Mus musculus: one gene and its partners. The protein of the gene in region 4 interacts with the protein of the main gene of each other region in a pairwise test. Links are inferred from orthologs where the notes say so. Each region holds a gene or a part of one and is shown on either strand. Other genes may lie near its edges.

What was found.
Region 1: the proteins of Clns1a (region 4) and Lsm2 interact in binary tests that used the Homo sapiens proteins (3 or more experiments, as listed by UniProt). The link is inferred for Mus musculus from reciprocal best matches to the Homo sapiens genes CLNS1A and LSM2.
Region 2: the proteins of Clns1a (region 4) and Snrpg interact in binary tests that used the Homo sapiens proteins (3 or more experiments, as listed by UniProt). The two-hybrid records come from large-scale screens. The link is inferred for Mus musculus from reciprocal best matches to the Homo sapiens genes CLNS1A and SNRPG.
Region 3: the proteins of Clns1a (region 4) and Snrpd2 interact in binary tests that used the Homo sapiens proteins (3 or more experiments, as listed by UniProt). The link is inferred for Mus musculus from reciprocal best matches to the Homo sapiens genes CLNS1A and SNRPD2.

The regions. Positions count from the first base shown.
Region 1 is NC_000083.6:34,979,823-34,985,005, forward strand, and holds the start of Lsm2 (U6 snRNA-associated Sm-like protein LSm2), read left to right. Parts: upstream 1-2,031; 5' UTR 2,032-2,260; coding exon 2,261-2,263; intron 2,264-2,307; exon of another isoform or gene 2,308-2,434; coding exon of another isoform or gene 2,435-2,545; intron 2,546-2,797; coding exon 2,798-2,865; intron 2,866-5,157; coding exon of another isoform or gene 5,158-5,183. UniProt on the Homo sapiens protein: Plays a role in pre-mRNA splicing as component of the U4/U6-U5 tri-snRNP complex that is involved in spliceosome assembly, and as component of the precatalytic spliceosome (spliceosome B complex).
Region 2 is NC_000072.6:86,370,047-86,375,158, forward strand, and holds the start of Snrpg (small nuclear ribonucleoprotein G), read left to right. Parts: upstream 1-1,493; 5' UTR 1,494-1,536; coding exon 1,537-1,568; intron 1,569-5,112. UniProt on the Homo sapiens protein: Plays a role in pre-mRNA splicing as a core component of the spliceosomal U1, U2, U4 and U5 small nuclear ribonucleoproteins (snRNPs), the building blocks of the spliceosome.
Region 3 is NC_000073.6:19,147,913-19,153,139, forward strand, and holds Snrpd2 (small nuclear ribonucleoprotein Sm D2), read left to right. Parts: upstream 1-1,925; 5' UTR 1,926-1,980; coding exon 1,981-1,982; intron 1,983-3,305; coding exon 3,306-3,485; intron 3,486-4,563; coding exon 4,564-4,738; 3' UTR 4,739-4,814; downstream 4,815-5,227. Other genes in the region: Qpctl (glutaminyl-peptide cyclotransferase-like protein), read right to left, coding at 464-607, 1,064-1,273. UniProt on the Homo sapiens protein: Plays a role in pre-mRNA splicing as a core component of the spliceosomal U1, U2, U4 and U5 small nuclear ribonucleoproteins (snRNPs), the building blocks of the spliceosome.
Region 4 is NC_000073.6:97,709,706-97,714,365, forward strand, and holds part of Clns1a (methylosome subunit pICln), read left to right. Parts: intron 1-1,994; coding exon 1,995-2,093; intron 2,094-2,921; coding exon 2,922-3,029; intron 3,030-4,201; coding exon 4,202-4,375; intron 4,376-4,660. UniProt on the Homo sapiens protein: Involved in both the assembly of spliceosomal snRNPs and the methylation of Sm proteins.

The DNA of each region.
Region 1 (5,183 bases), on a different chromosome or scaffold from region 4:
TCTGATCACGATACCTCCACCTGCCAAGACAAACATTTCCTAATTCTCAGGCACCCTGGGCCCAAAGGACGCAGTTGCTAAATGTACTGACTGCTTCTATCCAGTGACAGCTTGTTTTCGATTCAAATCTTAAGGATTCTGCTGAACTTGGGAACAAATCCTGCTTGGTACCATGCTGGATCCAGCTCTGAACACAGTGATGTGCACCGGTAATGCCAGCACTGGGGGAGTGGGTAGGTAGGGCAGACAGAAGAAGCATCTTAGGGTCTTGCTGGCAAGTCAGTCTAGCTGAATGAACCTGTCAGCTCCAGGATCTATGGTAGATCCTATCTCAGAAAATGAGAGAAATGACTAAGTGGTTAAGAACACGTGTTGCTCTTCCACAGGACCAGGGTTTGATTCCCAGCACCTATGTGGTGGCTAACAACTGTAACTCTAGAGGATCCAACACTCTCTTCTAGTGTCTGGGAGCACTGCCCATGTGTACACAGATGGACATGCAAGGAAAAACGCTCACACATATACAATTTTAAAATATTAAATAAGGTGGAAAGAACAGGCAGTATCTATCTCTGGCCTACACAGTCATGCATGCTCCAGCCCTCACTCCCACCCCCAGGAAACCCTGGCTACAATCTATTTAGATTATTACACTAGAGAATTCCACCCTGCAATCAGCAGGTTTAGACTCTCAGAATTTTCACCTGTGTCCCGTGACTGCCTTGCACCTACAGCCAGCCTCAAGAAGAGAAGACAGAATAGAAAGTGTTTCCCTATTTATCCAGACATGATATCCACAGAAGATACAACCTAGCAACTTCCCACTTAATGTAATTATTTAAAAAAAAAAAAACAATAGGGCTGGAGAGATGGCTCAGCAGTTAAGAGCACTGACTGCTCTTCCAGAGGTCCTAAGTTCAATTTCCAGCAAGCACAGAGTGGCTCACAATCATCTGTAGTGGGATCTGATGCCCTCTTCTGGATGTCTGAAGAAAGCCACAGCATACTTACATAAAACAAGTCAATCGAAATAACAACAAAGCCCTTTCATCTCAGACCATCTCTTTCTTCTCTGGAACTTGCCTACTGAGGCTTTTCTAGTTTTTTGTTTTTTTTTTAAATCAGTCAGCTCTTGTGAACTCCTTCACAACCAGCATGTTACAAGCCTGGTAATGCTGTTCCCAGAACATCCAAAGTAGTATCTGTCGGTGATCTAGTTGAAAATATTTCAGTAATGCAGGGATGGATCAGCAGTTACAAGCATCTGTTGCTCTTCCAGAACACCCAGATTTGATTGCCAGCACCCACAAGGAGGCTCACCATTGTAACTCCAGGCCCAGGGCATTTGAAGCCCTCTCTTCTACCAGGAACTCATGTAGTACAGACATAACATACAGGCAAAAACTGTCAAACACACACAAAAAAAGCTAAGATAAAGTAAAATATTTCTGTCACTGAGTTCCAGTCAGTTTAGTCCTTTACAGACGAGTCCTATGCCAAATTATATATATATATATAACATTAGAGCTGGGATGTTGTTCATTTGCTTTGCTTAGAATGTGTCCGCTCTGGGTCAACTTTGCACCCCAAAAGACTGAAATTGAGAGAAACTTACTTACTGGGAACCTTTGATAAGAATCAGGATTTGTGTTCCGGTTTCTCTCTCACACTCACACACACCATAACCAGTGTGTATTGGTGTATATTTTATTCTCTGACACAGGGTCTTGCTATAATAGCTTTAGTTGACCTCTAAACCAGAATCCTCCCGTCTCAACTCCAGGATTCCAGTTGGGCACGAACGCTGTCCAGCTCTTAGCAACATTTTAAATTTTACTAAAGAATACGCAAGTCATAATTTTCTCAATCTTCCCAATAATTCCCCATAGAAAACGTAGACTACGAGCTAATCACGCGGCAGAGAGAAAAGTCTCAACAACCATCAGAAAAAGAGACGAACTACGTCCAACGCGCAGCTGCCACGGCCCACGCATGCGCTTGTGAGAAAGCGGCTGCTCGGGAGGAAGTGGGGGGGACAGGAAGTTCCGCCCCTCTACCGGTTTGGCGGTCCTCTCGGCTCTGCCCTACCCCGCTCCCTTTGAGCCTGAATTCAGCCGAGGTTTTCGCGGCTCCCCGTGCGCCTGCGTGATCCAGTCTTGCTTCACGCGCGGGCTCGCGCTCCGGCTCCCGCCCTGCCTCCGGCTCGCAGTCCCCGGCGCCTTCCTTCGCGGTCCAGGCCGCCCCGCGTGGCGCCAGCACCATGGTGGGTACCGTGACGTCAAAAGGGAGCGCCGCCGCTCGCGGCGGGCGGTTCGAACCGTGCGGGCGTGGGTGCGGGCACTCGTGTCGGTCGCTTGGGGCGGCAGCCAGGCCCCAGGGTTTTCCGTACAGCCTTACTGCCCACACCCCAGTGTGAGGAGGCTGCTCGGAGCCGATGGTGTTTTGGGGGAAACCTTTAGCAAGTCCAAGAGAAAGCCCACGGGCGCCGGGGGAGAACGGGAAGCGAGCCTTGCACTTCTGTGCTGTTGACGAGGACTTTGTGAGGGTGCGGTTGGGAAGCGGTCTCAGCTGGGAGGTGGTCGACTCAGAGAGTGGGTTCTAGCGTCGAGGGGTGCAACGCAGGTCCTGTCACTCCGTGGCTCCGTGAACTGCAGAGTCCCGTTTAACGGATTGTTGTTGGTTATGAAGTTTTGAGAACTACTAGGAGGGGCTACAAAGACTAGTATTTCAAAATACTGTCACGGGCTCCTCCTCCCCGTCCCTTTTCATGTGATAGTTCCTCCCTCTTTTCCAATAGCTCTTCTACTCCTTTTTCAAGTCTCTTGTGGGCAAGGATGTAGTCGTGGAACTCAAGAATGACCTGAGGTAGGTCCTTATTTTAGCGAGTTGGTGGAAGGTGGGGGTGCCGGGTGTCCTGATCCTTTTTGTCGTTGTTGTTGACAAAGTTACTTCAGAGTAGGTAGGCAAAACACAGAAGAAATACCTTTCGTCTTAAGTGTAAAAGATTAGTTTAAGAGTGAGCCTGGTATTGTGACACATGCTTGTAATCCCAACACTGAACGCAGAGGTGTGAGTTCAAGGACAGCTTGGTCTACATATGTCCAGGGCCATCCGGAGTTACACAGTGAGATACAGTTAAGTAACATGTATGTGTAGTCCTGGCTGTCCTGGAACACACAGATCCACATGCCTCTGTCTCCTGAGTGCTAGGATTTGCCTGGCTGTATCATTTGCTCTTAACGATTCAGGAGTTGGGGTAAATGCTTAAATGCTGTACCACTGGAAATATGTTTATGGGTTCTTGTCACATCCGTTAAGGTCTACTTGGTTCCTAATAGTGCTTCGAAAATTATAGTTTCATTGAAGCCGGGTTTTGTTTGCTTTTGTTTTCTTTCATGTACTGGGCATGCTCAACAAGTGAACTTCATATGCAGCCCTCATGTTTCTCTTTAAAATAACTTTTTTTTTTTTTTCCAGACAGGGTTTTTCTGTATAGCCCTGGCTGTCTTGGAACTCACTCTGTAGACCAGGCTGGCCTCGAACTCAGAAATCCGCCTGCCTCTGTCTCCCGAGTGCTGGGATTAAAGGCGTGTGCCACCACCGCCCAGCAAAATAACTTTATTTGTAGACTCTTGAAACCTTTGAACACACATCAGTGGTTGACCAGCAGGATGGTTCTGACCAGTGTGGCCAAGTTAGAAGCTGGCCCAGACTGAGGTGCAGACTAAGACCTTTCATAGTCTAAAAGTCAAATCACACGAATGGTCTACAGAGCTGTGGGGATTCATAGGATGTAGAGAGTGAGGAAGTAAAACTCAGGATCTGAGGTGGTTAAAGTTGGTTACACAGAGGGTAAATATAATATAAGGTGGGGCATGTAAGGTGGTATGGGAGCACTGGCCTTGATAACCTTGCTTAGGGGCTAGAGGGCTGGAGAACTGAGAAGACTTGACTTGTATCTTCATTATTAAAGATAAGTTGGGGGGGATAACATTTGAAATGTAAATAAAGAAAATATCCAATTTTTTAAAAAAGAAGAAGAAGCCGGGTGTGGTGGCGCAGGCCATTAATCCCAGCACTCGGGCTACACAGAGAAACCCTGTCTCGAAAAAAAACAAAAACAAAAAAAAACCAAACAAACAAACAAAAAACTCATACGAGAAAAAAAAGAGTGTAGCAAAAATAATAAAGAGTAATTCCAGCTACCAGTATGTGTACATAGGTCTGTGACTCCAAAGCAGTAAATGTTTACAAATAACAGTTAGGGAAGCTGCAGAGATTGCTCAGTGCTTTAAAAAGAGCTTGCTGGGGGCTGGAGAAATGGCTCAGAGATTTTAAGAGCACTGACTGCTCTTCCGAAGGTCCTGAGTTCAAATCCCAGCAACCACATGGTAGCTCACAACCATCTGTAAAGAGAGCGGACATCAGACGCCCTCTTCTGTAGTGTCTGAAGACAGCTACAGTGTACTTAGATATAATAATAAATAAATCTTTAAAACAAAACAAAACTTGTTGCTCTCCCTGAAAAATAAGAGTTCAGTTTCCAGCAACTACATTAGGTGATTCACACCTACCTAGAACTCTGGCTGCAAGTGATCTGATGCCCTCTTCTGGTCTCTGTGGGTAACTACATGCACATACACACAAATAATAAAAATCAATATTTTAAAAATAATAGTTGATGCTTCTGGGAGTCATGCAGATCTGGGCTGACCTTCAGTTTATTGGTTGTAAGTTTTGTTACCTTCCATGACCTCTCTCATATCCTGGAGGATGATAATACTTTGAAAGATGATTAGCTAAGTGGTGTTGATAGCAGTGCATCCCTTAAACCTTTAATCCAGCACTCAGGAGGTAGAGGCAGAAACAGGTGTGAGTTTGAGGCCAGCCTTATCTACATAGCTAGTTCTAGGTCCTCACAGAGAAACCCAGTGGGGAATGATCATGAATAGTGGGTCCCAGCTGTAGTTCCACAAGTGGAGGTAGGAGGATTGCCATAGTTTGAGGCCAGCCTGGGCGCAGTGAGATCCTGTCTTTAAAGGGAAATACAAGTAGTAAATGGAATGCAAGCCTGGCCTGCAGTAGTTAAATATTAGCTTCTGATGCATTGGTGTGAGCAAAGACTGAGTCTGGGATGCATTTTCGTTTCTACCTCAGAACTCACAGATGCTGCCTGCAGGCCT
Region 2 (5,112 bases), on a different chromosome or scaffold from region 4:
TCATTGTCTCCACCTTTTTCTTATGGGTAGTGATATATCAGTAAATGGGAAACACCAAGAGGAAGGCAGAGAGCATCATAACTTGAAAGCTGTTAATGTTGAAAAGATAACTTAGGATTAAAGGTACATGGGGGGGGGGGCTGAAAAGATGGCTCAGCAGTTAAGAAAACTCTTCCGAAGGTCCTGAGTTCAAATCCCAGCAACCACATGGTGGCTCACAACCATCCTAATGAGATCTGGCGCCCTCTTCTGGAGTGTCTGAAGACAGCTACAGTGTACTTACATATTATAACTAAATTGTAAAAGGTGCATACTGTAATTTCAGTACTGTAAGGCAAGCTGAGGATTTCCCTCCTGCTTTGAGGTCAGTCTTTGCTAAAGACTATCATTATTCATGTTCGTTTTCTAGTTTCAACTAGCACAGCAAGTGGTGGGGAGAGTGTATAGCTAAGCATTCTTGTGCTATTTTTTTGTTGATGACAAACTAATCATGAGGAGAACCTCAATTGAAGAGCTGCTTCCATCTAACAGGTCTCTGGACATGTCTGTGGGTCATTAATGACTACCATGAGAGAGCCCAGTGCACTGAGGGCAGTGCCACCACCCTGGGAGAGTGCACACCTTTATTCCCAGCCCTCAGGAGGCAGGGGCAAGCTCAATACCTCAGGACTTGTGTGGTACTCCTCAGCTTTTATGTATGGACTGTAGTGTGCTAAGTGGGTTCTGAAGGCAGCGTTAGAATTGCAGAATTGATGAATCAGAAATACCCCAGACACTGGATTCACGTCCTCAAGAGAATCCGCCTAGCCACCTTCCTGCTACTGATGCGGACAAGCTATTCTGTGCTTCAGGAGCCCTCGGCTTCGCCTGGATGTGCTTAGGAAATTAAGGGCAGCGTGGTGCAGATGCCGTTGATTCTAGCACGGGAAGCAACAGTTCAAAGCCAGCGTTGACTACACAGTGAACTCGAAGCCAGCATGAATTACGTCAAAAACAATGAGGAAGGGGCAGGGGAAATGACAAAAATGTAAAGAGAAAAAAAGTGTAGTAAGTGGGAAAAGGAAAGAAAAGAAGTGACACACAGGCTGGAGAGACGCTTCAGCAGTTAAAACCACTGGCTGTTCTCCCAGAGCTCTGGAGTTCAATTCCAGCACCCACATGGTGGCTCACAAGCATCTATAGTAGGATCTGAGGTCCTCCCCTGGCGCGCAGGTGTACATGTAGAGCACTCATACATAAAATATAAATGAAGGGGTCTGTTTTTAAAGTGACCTGCCACTTCAATTTTACACAAAGGAAGCTTAGCCGAACACAGCCTCTCCGTCGTGGCCTGTCACTGGCGACGCAACCGGAAGCGTGGCTCTGGTCCGCAGGTTCAGACATCCCCATCAATATCGCGAGATGAAAGGTAATGTTCTCCGAAGGCGATTGGCTCGCGCGGCGGTGACGTCAGACACCAGCGCCAAGCCTGCCTTGCGCGCGTTTCTGAGCCTGCTCACTCCTTCGCCGTTGTGCCGAGCCCGCAGAGGAGTCGCCATGAGCAAAGCCCACCCTCCCGAGCTGAAGAAGTGAGTAGAGTCGGCCCTATCGAGACTTCTGTCTCGCTCGGGCTGCCGCCGCTGGTCCCGACGGTCGCGGGAGCCGGAAGTGGCGCTAAGGTCCGGTCGGCATGGTTACTGCAGTGCCGGTGCCTCTGTCTTCCCAAAGCTGGGGCTCTCCTAGGCGGGCAGCCAAAGGCAACCTGGTTGGGGACCAGGGCAGCGGTCGAGGTGCATGGTTGTGAGGAACCGGAGACTCGTGGGCTTAAAATGATCGATTGGAGTCGGACGTGATTGGCTGTGATCTATGGGGCCAATATTCAGGAAGCTTAGGCAGGAGAATTACCGCGAGTTCCAGACCAGCCTAGGCTTAAAAAAAAAAAAGACACTGTGTCTCAAAAAGTTTAAGGTGAGGTAGCGTTTTGTGTTTCAATAAATGTGCGCGTTCATTTGCGTTCATCAAGAGAGCTAGGTTTAGTTTTGGGGTTTTTTTTTCCCCTTTTTGGTGCTCAGAGACATGTTTAGTTATATGTTTGTGCACGTGGGTGCAGCTCCTGCGGAGGCCAAAGCGGGCATTGGATCTGCAGAAACAGAACTTGTAGGAGGTTGTGAGCCCTCTGGCGTGGTTAATAATAGCTGGACTCGTGTCCTCTGGACAAGCAATAAGCGCTGGGCCATCTGCAGCCCCAAGAACTAGGTTTCTGATACACTGTCCTTGTATTCAAGTTACATTTAAACGTTGTGTAATATCTTGCTCTGGCAATAAATCCATGGAAGGACATCCATTTTCTACTTGTAAAGAGCTAATTTCTGAAGAATTTTATTCTGTACCCAGTAAAATCAGACAGACCCTTTGGTCTCAGACACTTCTGACTGGCCTGAACCTGTCGCATATGCACATAGTCATTGGGTTGCTCAATACAAGATTAATACTGGGTCTTTTCTGGTGTAGCCAGAAAATAATCTGTCTTGTGTATAGCCTGTTTGCTACTGTAAAGTTCTGTCAAGACCCCAATGCAGGGGAAAGATAACAACATTTGCTGATTTTTGTATTTGAGTGCACATTTTAATCAAAGCCCTCTGTGTGAAACCCCTGCAGTTTTGTTTGAATCTGAATCTGTTAAACCGGGCCTAGAGAGTTGGCTCAGAGGTTGAGAGCACTGACTTCTCTTCCTAGAGGTCCTGAGTTCAATTCCCAGCAACCACATGGTGACTCACAACCATCTGTAATAGGATCTGGTACCCTATTCTGGCTTGCAGGCCTATAGGCAGAACACAACATAATAAAGATGTATTAAGCCATAAGTCTGACATTTTAAAAAGAAGTTATTCTGCACTGTTTGTTTTGATGATGAGCTAATAAATGAGGTCTGGATTTAGCAGGAATTGGCAAAATGGCATTGGTTTTGAACAAAAGCACTGTTCCCTACCTGTAATCTTCAGTGTCCTCTGATTCTTAACAGATATACTTGGGCCTTTCAGAGACTGGAACTAGTGATTGTGTCCATATTTTTATTGGCGTGTTTGGAGCAGAGCCTGTGTGAGCTACTTTGTCACTGAACTTCTCTTCTCTGAGTTGATGCCTTTTTCTCATCCCTACATTTTATCAAATTTGAAATACTTTTAGATCCGCCTCCTTATTTTCTCATAAACACCTCCTTTTACAGCTATTCACTCCTAGTTTAGCATAACTCCATAGTTCTTAATCATTTCTGGTCCCGTGTCTCAGTAGTTTCAAAGTTGAGCTCCTCCCAACTCCTAAAATGTGTTGCCACAGAAAGTCTTAACCACTGATGAATTCTGCTATACTAGTTTATATCACCACAAAGTCAAGTCCAGACTTCCTAACCCAGCTTTGAAGCCCCACCCCATCTGCAGTCCAGCAGCCATATTTTGCATGGTATATGACTAAAAACAATTTTCTGCACATTAGTGTCTCAGTTACTGACCTCTTGCTGTATAGAGGCATCGTGACCAAGACAACTCTTATAATAAAGAAAGCATTTGATGGGGACTTGCGTACAGTTTTAGAGGCCATGATCATCATGGAAGAACAGGCAGGCAGTAGTTGAGAGCGTTACATGCTGAACCGCAGCAGCAGGCAGGGCAGAGAGACACTAGGCTGGCTTTTGAAACCTCAAAGCCCACTCACTCCCAGTGCCACCTCCTCCAACAAGGCCACACCTCCTAATCCTCCCAAACACTTAATCAGCTGCGAACTAAACATGCACATAAGTGACTCCATGGAGGCCATTCTCATTCAACCTCCACACTGAATGTCAGTTCTCCATCTGTATAACATGGTAATAATAGTACCGGAATCGTAAGTGTTAAATATGTTCCTCTGTTGATTTACAAAATAACTCCTAGTAATTTATAAATGTTATTTATAAATCTATTTCCACCTTCAGATTCTTATGGCTTAAATTTATATTTAAATTCTATCATGGTCTATACATTAAAACTCAGTGAAGCAGCCGAGCAGTGGTGGTGCACGCCTTTAGTCCCAGCACTTGGGAGGCAGAGTCAGGTGGATTTCTGAGTTTGAGGCCAGCCTGGTCTACAGAGTGAGTTCCAGGACAGCCAGGGCTATACAGAGAAATCCTGTCTCAAAAAAAAAACCAAAACAAACAAAACAAAACAAAAAACAATTCAATGAAGCTCAGCCTGGTGGCATAGGCATGTAATGTCTGCTACTTGAGAAGCTGAGGCAAAGAACTACAAAACCAGGGTAGCTAAGAAACACTGTCTTAAACTGAAAAATAGAAGAGAATATACTTGAGTGGTAGAGTATTTGCCTAGAATGCTTGAGGCTCTAGATTCAGTCGTCAGTACAATAAGGAAAGAAAGGAAAGGAACTTTGATATTTTCTAGCCTGTTGCTGAAAGACAGCAGATTTAACAGGCTGATGAGATTGCTCCAAGGGTAAAGGCACTTGCCTCCACACTAGTCAACCTCTGGGACCACATGGTTGAAGGAGAGAACCAACTCCTTGAAGTTGTCCTCTGACTTCTGTATTGGCACCATACAAACAAATTTAATTTTTTTAAACATTTATTTTATTTATTATATTCTACCTACATGTATGCCTGCATGACAGAAGAGGATGCCAAATCCCCATTACAGATGGTTGTGAGACACCATATGGTTGCTGGGAATTGAACTCAGGACCTCTGGAAGAGCAGTCAGTGCACTCAACCTCTGAGCTATCTCTCTAATCTCTGTAATAACAGAGATCTCTGTAATAACACACACAAATGTAACCAAATCTTTGTAATTACATTAGTGTAAGTTCCCTAGCCCATGTCAACAGTTCCGGATTTGAGGCTGGGAAGATAACTTGGCAGTTAAGGGACCTGAGTTCAGTTCCCAGCATCTGCACTGGGCAAATCACAACTGCCTATGGCAGCTTTAGGGTATCTGATGACAACTGCCCTGGTACACACACACTCATATCCAAACAGTACAAGATCCTTACTGCTTTAAATGTTATGTGTCTGGGGTACAAATTGTAGGTTTGGTTTGGTTTGGATTTTTACATTGGTTGTGTAAGTGTGTACATATGCCAGGTATG
Region 3 (5,227 bases), about 79 Mb from region 4:
CCCAAAGAGGTTAAGAAGTTAGTCCAACTAAAGTGGATCCTAAACACAGTATCTGAATGGCACCACACCACTAATTCTGAAGCCAACCTTCTTGGATTTTAATTCTAATTAGCTGTGGGACTTGGACAAAATGTAAAAACTTCAGTTTCCTCATCTGTATAGTGGAGATTATATTAGTTCAGACCTCACCAGAGAGTACACTGCTTCTGCCTAATATAGGATAATATTTAGTGGGGGTCGTATAGTGCGGGATTTGTGTACCACCAAGAGAATCTAGTCAGGTTCACCTGCCGCTGCAGCCACCACCACCACCACTCCCCTACCCGCCTACTCCCCATCTCTGTCCCCCGACCCCCATCAGATCACTTCTGCCTCCTGGCTGTTTTGGGATCTTCGGAGCCTGAGTTCCATTTCCTGACAAACTGGGGAAAGGAAGTTGGGGGTTGACAATAAAACCCTTTACCTTTCTCACTTGGAGATTGCCAGAACTACCCGGGGGTCGCACAATCAATAAGGGACGCAGGAAAGTTCCCCAGAGACGCTGCGGATCCAGCTGCCCTACCACCAGCCGCAGCTTGGCTTCTGAAAGGCTTCCGATCAGCGGGACCTTGGTTGGGAAATGGGATGGGAAAAAGAAAAATGAAAACAACCCCATTCCCACCTTATCCTGGGCGCCGTTGCCTACTAGGAGTCCTGGCTCTTCCTGGTAATGCAAATCTCCAGCATCAAAGATTTCCTAGACTGGGAGAAATCTTCAAAGCAAATCTGGTCCAGCCTACCGCAGTCCTAACGAGGAAATTGCAATCGGGTGATGGAAATTTCTAAATAGATGGCTTGGGCATAGAACTCAGTTCTACCAGTGTTGCTATGAGGACTCGTCATCTTCAGTGGGGTCTATCACAAAACAAGCCTGAAGCCTTATTTTGTTGGGTAGGGGCACGCGCTCAAGTCATGGATAAATGGCACAGGCGGCAAAAGCCAAATGATAAGACCACGGTAACCTGAGACTCAATACGAAGGGAAAGAGGGAAATGACGCTGGCTGGGCACCAGCCAGGGCTCACCCGCAGATCCCGGCTCCGTGACATCTCCTCAACCCCAGGGTGCCAGCTGTTCCAGACGATATAGAAAGCCAAGCCCATAGCCAGCGCCAGCAGCAGCAGGGGCAGGAACTGCACTCGCGGCAGAAGACGGCGCTTGGAAAGTGAGGGTGGTTTCATGAGGCCACGATCCTCGAGCCGCTGCCGGGGCCGCCCGCGGCTCCCGGGACTCATGGTAGCTTTGCTCTGAAACCAATCCCGGTATGGTGGTTTGAGTTTTAGGCCAAGATCCGCCTCGCTGAGGTTACAAAACCCAATAAAGAAGCAGAGTAACTGCGTCCTTCCCTGAGACGATTGCGATTGGCTGTCCTAAGCGCCGCCCCACCCAAAAAGGAGGGCGGAAACCTTAAGGCCCGCCTCCACGGAAGAGGACCAGTCAATGGGCTGCGTCCGAATGTGCGAAACCTTCCAAGGCGCGGGGTCACGCCCCTCACGGAAGTCGATCAAGAAACTGTCGTTCAAGGAAAAAAGGGGCGGCATCCATCCCTAAAACAAGGAGCCGATTGGTTTACCTGAAGCCATGCCCTCAAGAAAAGTGTCCGAGGGTATTTGGAAATGGGGTTGTGTTTTCCATCTTCCAACTGGACGGTTTGACGGGAAAATAATTCTAGTCAGACCCCGTATTATTTTCCTCATGAGCAGACACCCTATTGTGATCCTCAGAAGCTTCAAATCCTCCTTATAGGCATTTTCTACAGGAGAGTGCAGCCTGAAGGGTCGCTATGGTAACAGGCCACGCCCACAGCCGCTGGTATTTGGTTGCGCAGGCGCCGACGGAAGTGAGCCGCAGGAGACGGAAGTCCCGCCCTTCTCGCCCTGTACGCCAAAGGCTGGAGCAACGCGCTTGGAGGCGGGAGTGATCTGCGAGCGAAACCTACACCATGTGAGGCCGGGCTGGGCTTTGGCGGGGCCGTGGAGATGGAGGTGGACAGTTTAGCTGAATAACGGTCGAAATGGGGTGTTTTTATAGCTGAGGGTAGAGTTCCTCGGGCAAAAGTAATGTTTTTCCTTCTGGGGTATTTGAGATCGGGCTTGGGGCCTCGCTCGGATCTTGAGTTCCGGAGAGGGGACAGCTTTATTCCATAACGGGCATGAGACTCTCCGAGGTCCTGAGTCTTGTGGAAAGGAACCATAAAGGGAAAGCTGAGTCTGATGGCACATGCCTGGAATCCCAGGCCTCGAGAGGCTGATGCAGGAGGTTCGCTAGTTGGCCTTGGCCAGCTTCATAGCGAGACCGCTTCCAAAAGTAATAGTAATTTTAAATGGAAGTGGTCTTATGAATAAAGAGCTTGGCGGGGAAGGAAGAACTGTTAGAAATAGTGAAAAGTATGGGACGTAACCAGGATAAATTAGAGAACCTAACTAGAGACTGTCAGAGTAGCAGGGTACTACAGTGGTTTGGTGCGTGTTTATTCATTGAGCATATACTATGTAGACTGCTTGTAAGTTAAGACACATGGTAAATAAAAGGTCCTTGCCTCCAAGGGGGTGGGGGAATCTCCCTGGTGCTTGTAAAAAGAGTGGAGTAGGAAAGCCATAGAGTAATAAATAGGTACATACACCTTAGATAATCAGGTTTGGATGGAGAATTGAGCAGGAAAGATATAATGCCAGTAGGTAGCACAGTAGGATGCATTGAAAGCCCAGTTCTTGGGATGCAGATTTAGCTCAGTGGACAGAGTACTTACCTACTGTGGGTACTGGGTTTGGTCCTTAACCACACACAAACTAGACATAGTGGCACGTGCCTGTACTCCCAATACTCAGGAGGCAGAGACAAGTCTGAGTTCTGGGGCAGCCAGGCTTCTACAGTGAGATGTTGTGGGGTGGGGCGGAGGTTCATGGAGAGAGATGATTGAAGTTTAGGTTGCGGATAGAAAGGGCCAAGGTTTGGATGTACCATGGTGGCAGATGACAAGATATAAGGATAGAGTAAGGTTTGAAAGAAGAATCAACTGCCAGGCATGATGGTGAGCCTCTGTCATCTCAGACCTTAGGCAGTGGAGTCAGGAGAATTGAGAATTCAAGGTCAGCGGTGGGTGGAAGAGGTTAGGTAGATGAGCCGGGGCAGGCTACCATGGAAATGTCTCTCCTGCCTCCAGAAAAGACTGCACCAGAAAGGGGGCTGGGGAGACACTGGACAGTGTGGCTTTGATCACGTACATTTCCAACTTGAACCCATCTCACCCCTGGGTTCTCTATCCAGGAGTCTCCTCAATAAACCCAAGAGTGAGATGACCCCAGAGGAGCTGCAGAAGCGGGAGGAGGAGGAATTCAACACAGGTCCCCTCTCAGTGCTCACGCAGTCGGTCAAGAACAACACGCAAGTGCTCATTAACTGTCGCAACAACAAGAAGCTGCTGGGCCGGGTGAAGGCCTTTGACAGGTGAGTGCTGTCTTGGGGAGGGCTGGGTCTGGGTCCGAGGGGCCTGAAGGAAAGGTCATTCCAGAAGGATAATAAGGTGGGCACACACGGTGACAAAGCACCTTTAATCTCAGCACTCGGGGAATCACTATGAGTTGGAGGCCAGCCAGTGTCTCATGGCACGACCTAGCTCAAAAATGTAGAAAGTGGCGATGCTTAACCTTTTTATAATACATATCTTACGTGTTTAGGTGTTTTGTCTGCATATGAGTCTGTATGCTATGGACATGTCTAGTAGTTATCAGAATCCCCTGGCAGGAAATTGGACTGGAATTTCGATATTTGATTTGTTTATCTGTAGACCAGACATCAGTGTCAAATATCTTGTATTGCTTTGTAGTTTGTTTTGAGACAGGGTCTTTACTATGTAGCTCGAACTGGCTACAGATGTGGCAGAGGCTAACCTTACACTTCTAATCCTCCTGCTCCCATCTCCCGAGCGCTGGGATTACAGGATTGCATGAAGCATGCCGTCCTGCTTTATTGTTTTAGTTAGCATGGGACTTGCCTTGTGACTTAGCCATACACATCTGGCACTGTACTTTGCTCTTATTCACTGTCCTCAAGCAAGCATTTGTGGAAAGAACTGATCCAAGTGTGAACAATGGCCACCCGGCCCCATGAGGACAGGACTGTGCAGCACTGGAGTGCGCGTGTTGGGAGCCGTGTCTAACCCCAGCACCCTAAGACCCTCTGGAGGGAGCAAGTGCTTCTCTCCTGCTGTTTCTCTCAGAGTTAGAGTTAACGCCAGAGCCAGGGCCATTTTGGTGGGCTTTACTCTGCTGGGTCCTGAGTTCTTTATTCATCCAATCTTCACACCAGCCCTATGAAATAGACTGTCTCCATTTCATGAAGGGGGAAACTGAGGCACAGAAGGGACACTATAAAGTGAAATCACTTTGCAGCCTGCCCATCCCCACTGTGGAGCCTGGGCTTTCCTTATGCCTGCTGCTGGAGAGTTCACACAGTGCCAGGCAAAGGTGGGCACTCGGAATGCCCCCCCTTACTCCAGCTTCCCCCCCCACCCCTACCCCATCAGGCACTGCAACATGGTGCTGGAAAATGTGAAGGAGATGTGGACTGAGGTTCCCAAGAGCGGCAAGGGCAAGAAGAAATCCAAGCCTGTCAACAAGGACCGCTACATCTCCAAGATGTTCCTGCGCGGGGACTCGGTCATCGTGGTGCTGCGGAACCCACTCATCGCTGGCAAGTAGAGCCTGCTCCCTGCCCTGCGAAGGCCTGCAGAACCCTGCCCAGTGGGCGAGAAATAAAACCCTGTGCTTTTTGGTTTTTATGTTTTCCAGTGGTCTTCTCTGCTCTTGGGTCTTAAAAGAGTGTGTTGGGCTGAGCACTAGGACAGGGCCTGTGGGTGCTGCGGTATATAACAGCCCTGTCTGCAAAGGAGACAGTTTAATTGGACTTTTGTGTATTGTGGACAGAGGGATTCTCTGACAATGTGCAAGTGGGAAAGGGAAGCCTATTTAAGAGGCTCGTGGAGGACCCAGGGCCTTCTGCTCTACCCACAACTCTGTCTATCTGGTATCTCTGTCTGTGTCCTCCCAGGCGATCATGGGCTGGAGGTCAGGAGTCTCTGCCCTCTTTACATGTATATAAAACATGTATGGGTGTTTTGCCTGGATGTGTCTGTTCTTGGTACCCATAGGAGCCAGAAAAGGAGAGTTGGATGCCCCTAGAGGTAGTTA
Region 4 (4,660 bases):
CCTGCCTCTGCCTCCCAAGTGCTGGGATTAAAGGAGTGCACCACCACCACCCGACTTAAAGGTTTTTTTAATGGTACCTTTAAGTGTAAATTTTTACTTTTCTCTTCTTTGCTGTAGCTAAAGACTGAATCCAGGGCTGTGAATGTGCTTGGTGCACACTCTGCCACTGAGTTGCATCCCAGCCCATCTGCTCATGTGTATCTTATCTAGCCCAGTTTGTGTTTCTATTAGTGTGTGCAGTACATGTGTGTACATATGGATTTGGTTCTTTCCGCCTTTCAATGGCTCTGGGGATGGAACAGTGGTGTTGGGCACATGCAGCAAGTGCTTTACCTGCTGAGCCACTCGCCAGCCCGTGATTTGTATTTTAAGATTGCTAATTTCAGCAAACATGTTCGTTTTGTGGCATCAGTTTTATTGATCTATTTTTTTTTAACTGTGTAGTGATTCAAACATAGAAAATATATATTCTATTTAGTATTCAGTATAAATTCTATATCGCTTTTCCCAGATACTATAAGTTTTTAAGGGAAAATAACTGAATATTGTTAAAAGCTGCCCTTTGTTTGGGTGGGGGGTGTCTCTCTGTTTCCTGGCAGTCACTGTATAGATCACACTGGTCTTGAACTCATAAAGATCTACCTGGCTGGAATTATAGATGTGTGCCACTATGCCCAATTCGAAAGCTGTTTTGTGGGGCTCCCCATTTCATCCTCTACTCTCTGACTCAAACAGTACTGTAAAGGTAGCGTGTGTCCTTCCTGTCTGTGCTTTGTTTTGGTTTTTATTATTATTTCATGTATGTGAGTGTTTTGCCTGCATCACATGTATGCCTGGTACCTGTCAAGGTCAAAAAGAAGCGGGTAGATCTCCTGGCACTGGAGTTACGGACAGTTACGAGCTACGGTGAGTGTCAGGAATTGAGTCTGGGCTCTCTGCGAGAGTAACAAGTGCTCTCATCACTGAGCCAGTTCTCTAGCCCGTCTATATGTGCTTTTAACCTTTACTGAATATGTCTATGCCTCCACCCAATGTAATGGTTTTATGTTTAAAATCTTAATGTAAATGATACTGTATATTCTGCAACTGGCTTTTTTTATCGAGTTCCTTTTTAAAATGTATCTGTTGATATATTTATATAATCAGTTTCCCAATGCAAGGACTTGAACCCACGAGTTCCTGTGCAAAGTCACTACCACTAAGCCATTATTTTCAGCCCCTGTTCTCCTTGGACATTTTGTTTTATCTACAAACTCTCCATGTATCTGAAATAGTCCTAGTGCTCCCAGTGATGCGCGCTCAGTGCGTGCGTTACAAGTGTGTTCCTGCTGAGCGCTTTCCAGCTCTGCAGTAATACCAATAAAAAGTGAATTGCAATATTTAGATATACCAGTAAATTCCTAGCCTGTTTGTTATATTTTTTGTGTATATATTTGCTTCTCCTTTTCAAGTACAACAAGTATTTCAGGATCTTAGCTACCAGTACTGTTTAATCTGAGTCAGTACTGTCAGGATCTAGCTACCAGTACTGTTTAATCTGAGTCAGTACTGTCAGGATCTAGCTACCAGTACTGTTTAATCTGGGTCAGTACTGTCAGGATCTAGCTACCAGTACTGTTTAATCTGGGTCAGTACTGTCAGGATCTAGCTACCAGTACTGTTTAATCTGGGTCAGTACTGTCAGGATCTAGCTCCAGGGTCTTTAAAATGTGAAGTAAATACTTTTTTATTTAAAAGTTTTTATTCCTTGAGACTGGAGAGACAGACCAGCAGTTAAGAGCTCCTACTGCTCTTTGAGAAGACCAGAGTTAGGTTTCCAGGACCCATGTTAGGTGACTCACAGTGCTTCTAACTCTAGCTCCGGGGGACTTAATGTCCTCTTGTGATTCTTGCATGTATTTTGTACATAGACGCTTATACAGGCATGCAGAAGTAAAGCCGTAAAAAACAAAACCTTTAAATGTCTAAAAAGTTTACTTTTATTTCTCTTATAGAAGAATCAAAAGAACCTCTCTCTGATGAAGATGAGGAAGACAATGATGATGTTGAACCCATTTCTGAATTTCGATTTGTGCCCAGTGATAAGTCAGCATGTGAGTGTTGGTGACACTGATCTTTCTCTGTGTGCCCCCTCTCCCACTGGCACACGCACCTCACCTTCATTACAGTTACTTCCATTCTATTGCTTTATCTCAGCTTAGCCTCCTTAAAGCCATTGAGCAGGTACTTTCTACCATCACAGGTTGTGAAGAAAAAGAGAATATTGTGAACAGTGTGGTACCTGGTGCATTTTGTGCAAGAAGATTCTGGTTAATCTTATTGGTTGATGTTGCTGACACAATGTCAACTGCAGGAAGCACTTTCAGAGTGAAAATGTGGAGACTAGACAGTATGTCATGTGACAGAGGCTTTATCCTATACAGTACTGGATATGTAGACCAGGCCTTAAACTCAAAGAAATCTGATTGCTTCTGCCTTATGAGTGCTGGTATCAAAGGCCTGAACCATATCACCTGGCCTGGCCTTTTTCTTTTTTTTAAAAAAGATTTCTTTATTTATTTTATGTATGTGAGTACACTGTAGCTGCACAGATGGTTGTGAGCCACCATGTGGTTGCTGGGATTTGAACTCAGGACCTTTGGAAGAGCAGTGAGTTCTCCTACCCGCTGAGCCATCTCGCCAGCCCTTGGCTAACCACCCATGAAGAGATCTCATAATGTCTTAAACTCTTACTTTGTGACTTTTTCATTGTCTCAAGTACTATTCATGATCAATTTCTATTTGAATTTTGCAGATTTATGAATATAGTTATCCTAGTAAAATCTGCCTGCTTTTAAATTGGTTTATCATAGTGGTTATATTTATTCTAAAATTCCGTGGTACACTGGGAGAAGTATTAATTATAGTTTAATGTCTTTCAGTGGAGGCGATGTTCACAGCAATGTGTGAGTGCCAGGCCTTGCATCCAGACCCTGAGGATGAAGACTCGGACGACTATGATGGAGAGGAGTATGATGTGGAGGCACATGGTCAGTGACTCGGGCCTTGCGGCTTTCCTGTTTCATTTTAAGCATGTAGTTGTGCTAAGGGCATAAGATGAAGTAACCCATGTAAGATGGCAGTAAATAAAGGGAATGATCCGTTAGCATATTTGTGCCTAGGCCCTTTCAGCAGACAGATTGGGGAAATGAATGGCTTTCTCAAGCTCATACAACAGTAAGATGTTAGGAGTGGGGATGGAAAATAGAAACAAGTGGGAGAGAAAGTGGGTGGTCAAGAGCACGCCTCAGGCTGCCCCACCCTCCCCACTGAGAGCTCTTTCATATAGACCTCTTTAAAGTTGTATTTAATGTGTTTATTTTACATGTATGAGTGTGTTGCCTGGATTCATATATGTGCACAACATTGTGCCTGGTGCCCTCAGAGGCCAGAAAAGGGTTTTGGAACCCTGTGAGCTAGAATTACGGTATGCACTGCTAGCTGGGTGCTAGAAACCAAACTCCAGTGCCCTGCACCGACTCTGGAGTCCTCTTGCTCTCTCTCGAACTTTAATTTCCTTTTCCCTAGAACCATACTTCATTTATTTACAGCTATTTCCCCTTTCCTCCCCAGACAAGTGAGGCAGGAATGGGCTCACTTGCCTGATAGGCTGCAGCCTTAGGCACAAATGGTTCCTTTTGCACCAATCTGAGTATCTAAAGTTCTTTCCTACATATGAATCCAGTTCCTGGCCTTAAGACTACCCATTTCTGGGATTATTCTTCATATACACAAATATGTTCTCATTTCTAGAGATTTTAAAAGTGGTTTTATGTTTTATCCTTTATGTATTTTTTTTAGATTTTCTGATTTTTTTAAAAAGGAGCATATGTTAATTCAAAATTCTTTTAGTATCAAATTTTGTGTTTACTTGTAAAATTCCTACCTTGGAATAATAAAGGATCCACTAATTTAAGAAACACCCTCTTCCTTCTGACTCCTAGAAAGTCTGTTCTCTGGGAACTACTGTTTTCTAGTTTATTATCTTTTTAAATGTTTTCTCAATCTCTTTTGTCTTGTCTTTTTAGACAATGACCCTATCAATAAACACTGGAAGTTTTTGGAAGCCTATACATCTCCAGCAAATACATTATTTATCATCCATTTTCTTTTTTTTTCCAATTGTTGAATAAAATAATTTAAAAGTGTTCTGTTTGTTTAGAACAAGGACAAGGGGACATCCCTACATTTTATACCTATGAAGAAGGACTATCCCATTTAACAGCGGAAGGGCAAGCCACGTTGGAGAGATTAGAAGGGATGCTTTCTCAGTCTGTGAGCAGCCAATATAATATGGCAGGCGTCCGAACAGAAGACTCAGTAAGAAATTATGAAGGTGAGTGTTTTTTCTCTTCAGACTGGGAAATCGTAGCCAAGTTTTCTCTTAGAAGCCAGAAGACTGCAGAGTCATTGCTCCAGACTCTCATACAGTTTTGGCTCTGAAGGAGTGACATGTGGCAGTCCTGTGCTTTCTAACCCCAAGCCGATTGTGTGCCACACCTGGATTTAAAGCACATCTCTCAATATTTACTCTTTTGGGGTAGGGGCGCGGGTGTTTTCTTAAAGGCAGGGTTACTCTGTGTAGCTTCAGGCTGGCCTTGAACTCAGAAATCTACCTGCC